Linked DNA regions of Oryctolagus cuniculus. The protein of the gene in region 2 purifies or fractionates together with the protein of the main gene of each other region. This does not show direct contact. Links are inferred from orthologs where the notes say so. Each region holds a gene or a part of one and is shown on either strand. Other genes may lie near its edges.

Region 1 (3,827 bases), on a different chromosome or scaffold from region 2:
TCACTGTGCCTTGTTTGATTCAGCCCCAGAAGAGCCCAAAACATTGGAGGAAAAGATCAGATGTCCATTATTTAAACCACCTATTAAATCAGCTTTGCCATTGTGATGTCAGTTTGTTTGAGGAGAAGTACCAGCCTAGTTTCCTGGGAGGATCACAGTTTAGAGATTATCGGTGAGATGTCTCATCTCCTCAGGCCATGTGGTTTTGTAATAGGTTTTGTATTGAGTTTGGAATTATAAAGAACATATTTGATCTTCACCTTGATCCTTAATGGAATACCTACTGTGTTCAGGAGACACTGAAAGATTATAGATCTCCTTGCTCCAGAGTTAATAGATTTGAATATTGACTTTCTAGAACATTTTCAGAATTCTCAGGAGATGTAACACACTACTTCACACTTGGTGCCCCCACACTGAATTGAGTGACCACCCTAAGACTCCTGGGGTCTGGTAGACCTCTTTCCATCTCTGGTTTGTCTTGGGGGAAGTGGGGGTGGAAGGGTGTTACAGGTCAGCTTTAGACAATGATGGGATTGATTGGTCTGGCTATACATAGAACTCCTGTGCATCAGGTGAATCTTGGGGTGGATCTGCTAACAGTGGGTCTGAAATTAATGGGGGAAAGAAGGAGTAAACTCCGCTGTGTTGCGCTTGGGACTCTGCGGGCCTCTCGTGTTTCACTTTTTATTCCCAAGGCTGCAGGAGGATGGTTGGCTCTGCTCAGATGGTCTCCAAAGCTGATACTTACTCTAGAGGGTACAGGTGCAGGAGAATTTACCCTTCCTTTAATCCCTTGTTTTCTGCTCTTCGTGCCTTCATTTTCCTTCTTCCTTCATCCAGTTGGCCAGTTCTACTTCTTAATCCGGAAGAGGATCCACCTGAGACCTGAGGACGCCTTATTCTTCTTTGTCAACAACACCATCCCTCCCACTAGTGCCACCATGGGCCAGCTGTATGAGGTAATGCTCCCGGTCGCAGCAGTTCCGAGCAGTCTGAGTTGTTGATAACACTGGGAAAGTGGGGCAGAAGGTGTTACTTACCAGGATCCTCTTACAGATGGCAGTGTCAGGCTCTGGGTGATCAGACAGCACTTGTCCTGCAGGGAAGCAGTCCTCAGGACTAGATTTATTCCCGCTGACAAATCTCTCTTCAGTCTCGCCTGACTACTGTTGTAATGTCAGTGGTCTTTATTGAAATGACTGGAAGTGGTTGTTGATAACAAAGATTCCAAACATGGATTCACTGCAGTTCCTCTTTTTCTTGTTGGTGACAAATAGTGTGAAAGCAAACTATGCATTCAGATCTCAGTTCATTATTTTATTGCTATTTATTTGAGAAAACAAATGGTGTTAATTTTAGCCCCTTCTAGCTCTGAAACTAACCTTAAGCTCTAAACCGAAATTTTGGTTTAAGACAACCATATAGAGCCACACAAGGGTAGCTCCTTATTTCTGAGTTCAAAGCTAAGAACATGAAACAGATTCACCATTACCTGGGCACAGTGAATTGTAATTGAAATTGAAATGCAAATTAAGGCCAAGTCTTCATTTTGATTCATTTATCTTAAGAGACAAACTCAGGGAGAATAACTTACCTGACTTGGTTTAATTGGTAATCTAATGAGTAAGCTATAGTAAAGCACTTTCTCACGTTGGAAATTGAACGTAACATTATAACTGTTGTACTCCTTAAAGGATTTCACACGAGTGCTGCCTTCTCATGGCGCCTCAGTAATGACACAAACTCTAATGGGACTTCTATTCCATAGTGTATCTTCTCCATTAATATATATTCCTGTACATGTCTTGTGGTATGTTTCCCTTGCTAATATGAACTTTAAAAAATATTTTAAATTATTTATTTGAAAGGCAGAGTGACAGAATTAGAATGAGATCTTCTACCCACAGGTTTAACCACTTCTGCTTACTCTTTTAATAGAGGCTAGTGATGTTCTTCATACTTATTCAATAAGGCTGTGTGTGGCTCAGAAGCCTAGGAATAATGAAGATGAATAGGTGTCCTGAGCTGTCTTCTTTTCTCTTCCCCAGGACAACCATGAGGAAGACTATTTTCTGTATGTGGCCTACAGCGATGAGAGTGTCTATGGGAAATGAGTGTTGGAAGCCCAGCAGATGGGAGCACCTGGACTTGGGGGTAGGGGAGGGGTATGTGTGGGACTTGGGGGAAGAGCAGGAGGGCTCCCACCATGGAGGAGACAGAATGTGAAGACATCGAGAAATATTACACCACACACACTGTCATCATATTTTCACATGCTCAGTTGATATTTTTTGCTGCTTCCTCGGCCCAGGGAGAAAGCATGTCAGAACAGAGCTGTTGGATTGGCTGTGAGAAAGGATTGAGGATGGCATAACTTTACAGCTTTGCTGAGAATACTTGTGCAATTTCATAGGAGGGTCAGCGTATGGACCAGGTGGGGCCAGAGACAGTTGCGGTCCAACAGTGACTCCCTCCTCACCATTCTAGTTTTGACATTCACATGAGACCAAAAGGGGAGGAAGACAGGAATGTTTTATGACTTGTGGTGGTGGGCCGTGCCTTCTGGGGACCAAGCCCATTGTAACTGAAGCACTGTGGCCTTCCACGACTCCTCCCTTCCATCCAAGTTGTATTGTCACACACAAACATCTCAGTGCCACCCCAGAGGTGGCAGTAGACACAGGCACAGAAATTGAGATGGCACTCTCTTACCTTGAAAATAGGGGTTAGTCATGACGGTGGTTATGATTACGAGGTAGTTAGGCCAGCACTGAACTGGAACGGACTTGAGTGTTGAGCCTCTCTAACCTGCTGTCTCTCTGGTGCCCCTTATCCCACACCTTTCTTGGAACTCAATGGGCCCCAGGCTAAAACTACTCCTTTAGCATATCCTTTAGCGTTTCCCGTGTATAGGGACAGAGGTGTCTTAGGTATGGCAGAGGCAGGTGGATCTCCAACTCCCACTCATCCAGACTCCTTCCTCTCCTGCTGCTGTCCCTGCAGTCTCACACGCACAGGACGGTGCTGACGGTGGCCAGCTGCTTCCCTCCTTTGGTTTCCACGCTGCAGCTGCTTGTCACAAGAGTTCGGAGGGCTGACTTTCAGTCACTATCGGGGATTTTACTGATCTGTTTTCCCTGCGGGGGTTACGTGGGGTGGGGTGGGGCCCAGGAATTGCACTCAGACGTGACATTTCATTTCATCTCCGCTACTAGAAAGAGTCCTTCCTGTTGGGAAATCTGTGTGTCAGTTCTGTCAGCTGCAGGTTCTTGTATAACAAAGTCAATGCTGTCAGGCCTCAGAAATAAAGTAATTTGCTCACCTTCAGAATTTACATGGAGTTCATAAGTGTTGCTTTTATTCGGTGTACGTTAGAGTAGATGGCACGCGGACTCTGAGCAGAACGCTGGGAGCGAGGTGAGCGAGTGCTCACCTCCATGATCAGATGTACACGTGTCGTCTCAGCTCGTTGCTGACCTGGAGTTGCCCTCGAGGGTGAGTGGTAGAGTGGGGCAGTGTGCCCGGTGTGCTGGTGATGTGTGCTTTGGCAGAGCTGAAGGTGGAACTGCCTGCATCAGAGCATGGCGGGCGGGTCGGGGGTGTGCGGATTACAAATGAAGATGTCTGGGCCTTGTCCCAAACGTATGTGACTCAATCACAGCGTAGGCGTCTGGAGTTTTAATAGCACCTCCTGTGACTCTGCTGCACACTGAAGTTTGCCAGCCACTGCCTTTGCAGCAGGTTTTGCTGCTTATTCCAACCATACCTTATTCCCCCCATCCCCCACTACATCTTGGTCAGATGTGAAGCCACCATCTCCTCTA
Region 2 (3,391 bases):
TGCACAAGTGTTATTTCATATGTGGGTTACAGACGAAATTTAACTAATTATAAAAAATAAGGTTTTAAACTTTGAAGACAAATATGACAAATTTTGGAATTCATGCTTTAAGCCTTTGAATCCCTAATTCAGAATTAGGGTTGAATGCACAGAATCAGCTGCTGCTTTCTCTCCAGTTCTTGCCATAAGCAATGCTGCCAGACATTTCAGAGGCTAATTTTTTTTCAGGGTTTTTTTTTTTTTTTTTTTTTGGTCTTTTAAATAAAGGCAGATTTGGACATTAACTTAGATTTTTTCTTATACTTTAAAAAAATTAGCTTTTGAGATATAATTCATGTACCATAAAATTCACAGTTTTAAAGTATACAATTCAGTGATTTTTTTTTTAGTATATTCACAAAGATGTATAACCATCTAGATCTAAAACACATCATCATTCTGAAAAGGAGCCTGTGCCAACTATCAGTCATTCACCATTTCTCCCGACCCTGACCTCCTGTTCCCAGCAACCACTAACCTACTTTCTCTCAATGTGGACTTGTGTACTCTGGGCATTTCATATAATTGGAACTATACAATAAGTGGCCTTTTGTGTCTGGCTTCTTTCACTGAGCAGTGTTTTCAAGGCTCACCCAGGTTGCAGAAAGTACTGGTACATTATTCAGTTTTAAAGCCAAGTAATATATTCCATGTTGTGAACACACCTCATTTTATTTATCCATTCAACAGTTGACAGAATTCATATTTTTGCAAAATGATAAACAGAAAATTGTTCACGGGTATTAGCATACCGTCTGAAGTGTCTGTCTGTGGAGTATATCCTTCTGAAAGGTTGAAGGTCCCATTATCCGTCCAGGACACCTCGGAAACATCTGTGTCAGACACGGATAACTCTTTGGCGGCAACTGTGAGGCTAATCTGTGTTAATAAAAACACCATGGCACACTTTGAACTGCAGAGAGAAACCTTTTGGAAAATTCCCTAATAACCTTCAAAAGGTCAGAATAATACAAACCAGATGATTATTTCTCTTTTGAAATTGTTCAACTTATAAAATAGGAGGAGTCTATTAGCAAAATCATTCAGCTATGATTTTCAATTAAATGATGGTCAAAACACACAGAAACAAATTGAAAATCAAGCAAAAAATACCTTAGGACAAAGAGCTGAAAAGTCTAATTCACTGTCATCTTTGTGACTTTTTTCTTTATCTGCTTCTGTTGAGAAAAAAATGAGAAGCTTTCAATTTCCTGGCCAACATAGGCGCAGTATACTCTTCTATTATGTATTCCTATCCCGTTTTCCTCATTTTTTCTCATGCCTACATATAAGTAAATTTTTGCACTTAAAAAGCTTCACATGTTTGCAAAATATTTGATTTCCAAAGGAAATGTCCCATATTCAGAGTGTGAACAGCAGCCTTTTCATCCCCAGGAACTCCGTGGAATTGGAAATGCTCAGGCTGGACCCTCGTCTAAGTCAGAAACTCTGGAGTGGGGCCCAGCCATCTTCACCTTAACAAATTCTTCAGGTGATTCTGATGCATGCCATACTTTGAGAATCCAAGATCCTACACCAAGTTAACAAATAAATGCAGCAAGTTTTCCTTTCCCTGTTCTTCCAATTCCCTCAACATGACTCCCAAATTCTTAGACCTACCTTTTTTTGTAATAGTCCAATAAATAATAAATATCAAAATATAGAGTTGTTGAAGTCTGTTTTCCCTCCCCTGACAGTCTGGATTAAAAAAACAATTTATTTATGTATTGTACATTCAAGATAAAAAATAAAAGCCTTTAACTAGGAAAAGGCTGTGTGTGTATGTGTGTGTGTGTGTGTGTGTGCATTTAACTTTGGGGAACTTAGCTCCTATAATATTTAGTAAACGTCTTCTGAAATGTATTGAAGGTGATTTCATAATAAATAGACTGCTAATGTCTCATTTCACGCATTGAATCTAAACTTCAAACTTTACCTACCAGATCTCTCACGTTTCTTCTGGTTAATATATTCTCCAATTCCAAAATCTAGCTTCAGCAAAACTGACTTGATTTTGCTGTATATTCTTTGTCCAATATCATTACACTTAAACAGCGGACACAAGAATGCACACAACACTGGAAAGCAAGAAGAAAAGAGGTGTAGGTAAAAACGCCGCTCCCTTCAAAAGGCTACGCCTTAGGATTTCACAAATATTACGTTTCTATGTGGAAAACAGAAGTGTTTTCCCCTAGGGAAATGCCTCTGTGAGGTAAGTTCGTAATTTCTATTCCTCTCTTGTAATGAAAAGACTTTCTACTACAGCACACTCAGAAGGGTTCATAGTCATTGCTTTCAGACTTGCAATTAGATCAATTCCCTTTTACCCTCAAAATTTACAGAAAAAAATGTGTTCTTTCAGATAATATTCCTAGATTAAAACCTCAGTTTTATTTATTAAATGCCATTTTACCATGGGAATGTTATTATTTATTAGCATATCAGTAATATCTGGATAATACCTTTATTTCTTATGGTTAATGCAGATTATAAATGAGATGAATGCAACCATCAGTCTGATGTCCTACCTGCTCCTTCCCCACACCTCTTCTCCATTAACTCCTAAACAATGTGCACCAAAAGGGTGATGATAAAGGAGTTCTATCTGGGAGAATGGATTTGAGCCCTGACCACTTGCATTTTTGTGTTGTACATTGAAATACAAAAGGAAATTAGACTGCCACATTGAATGTATTCTATTGTTTTATTTCTGTGTTGTTGGTGTTAGGAAATGTCTGCTACTTCAAATAAGAATTGGGAACTTGCATATTTTTAGAGGCCAAAGAATTACCTATAAATTTTAAAGGCCAGAGTTAAAAAAAATTAGGAAAATATGGGGGTTAAAGGGAGAGCACTTGCCTCATAAAATGGTAGTGGTGTCAGATCTTCATCTCTTTCAGTAGCAGAAAATCTACATTTTATATCATTTAAAATTATGATTGATATATAATAAACCGCACATATTTAATGTGTATAAGTTGTTAAGTTTTGACATATGCATTCAGGTAAGAATCAATCACCACAATAAGGGTGGTGAATATATCTACCACCCCAAAAGTTTCCTCCCGTTATTATTAATCTTTCCCCTTCTGCTGCTTCTTCTCAACCTGCTTCTCCCTACCACCACCCATCTCATCCCTAAGCAACCAGTGATCTGCTTTGTCAGTAAAGATTACTTAGACTAGAATTATATATAAATAGAATTATATAGTATACACTCTCTTATCTGGTTTCTTCTTAGAGATATACTCATATCCATATCTGTATCTTCTTTGACATATCTATGGGGTTGCATGTATAACAAGTAGTTTTTAAGGCTGAGTTGTAATCCATTGTAAGAACAGACCATAGT

The links.
Region 1: the proteins of RETREG1 (region 2) and GABARAPL1 purify together in Homo sapiens (affinity purification with western blotting; 3 studies listed by BioGRID and IntAct, with this or other methods). This does not show direct contact. The link is inferred for Oryctolagus cuniculus from reciprocal best matches to the Homo sapiens genes RETREG1 and GABARAPL1.

Annotation. Positions count from the first base shown.
Region 1 is NC_091440.1:106,922,932-106,926,758, forward strand, and holds the end of GABARAPL1 (gamma-aminobutyric acid receptor-associated protein-like 1), read left to right. Parts: intron 1-843; coding exon 844-962; intron 963-2,051; coding exon 2,052-2,117; 3' UTR 2,118-3,337; downstream 3,338-3,827. UniProt on the Homo sapiens protein: Ubiquitin-like modifier that increases cell-surface expression of kappa-type opioid receptor through facilitating anterograde intracellular trafficking of the receptor. Involved in formation of autophagosomal vacuoles.
Region 2 is NC_091445.1:45,627,489-45,630,879, forward strand, and holds part of RETREG1 (reticulophagy regulator 1), read right to left. Parts: intron 2,118-3,391; coding exon 1,980-2,117; intron 1,218-1,979; coding exon 1,153-1,217; intron 919-1,152; coding exon 792-918; intron 1-791. UniProt on the Homo sapiens protein: Endoplasmic reticulum (ER)-anchored autophagy regulator which mediates ER delivery into lysosomes through sequestration into autophagosomes.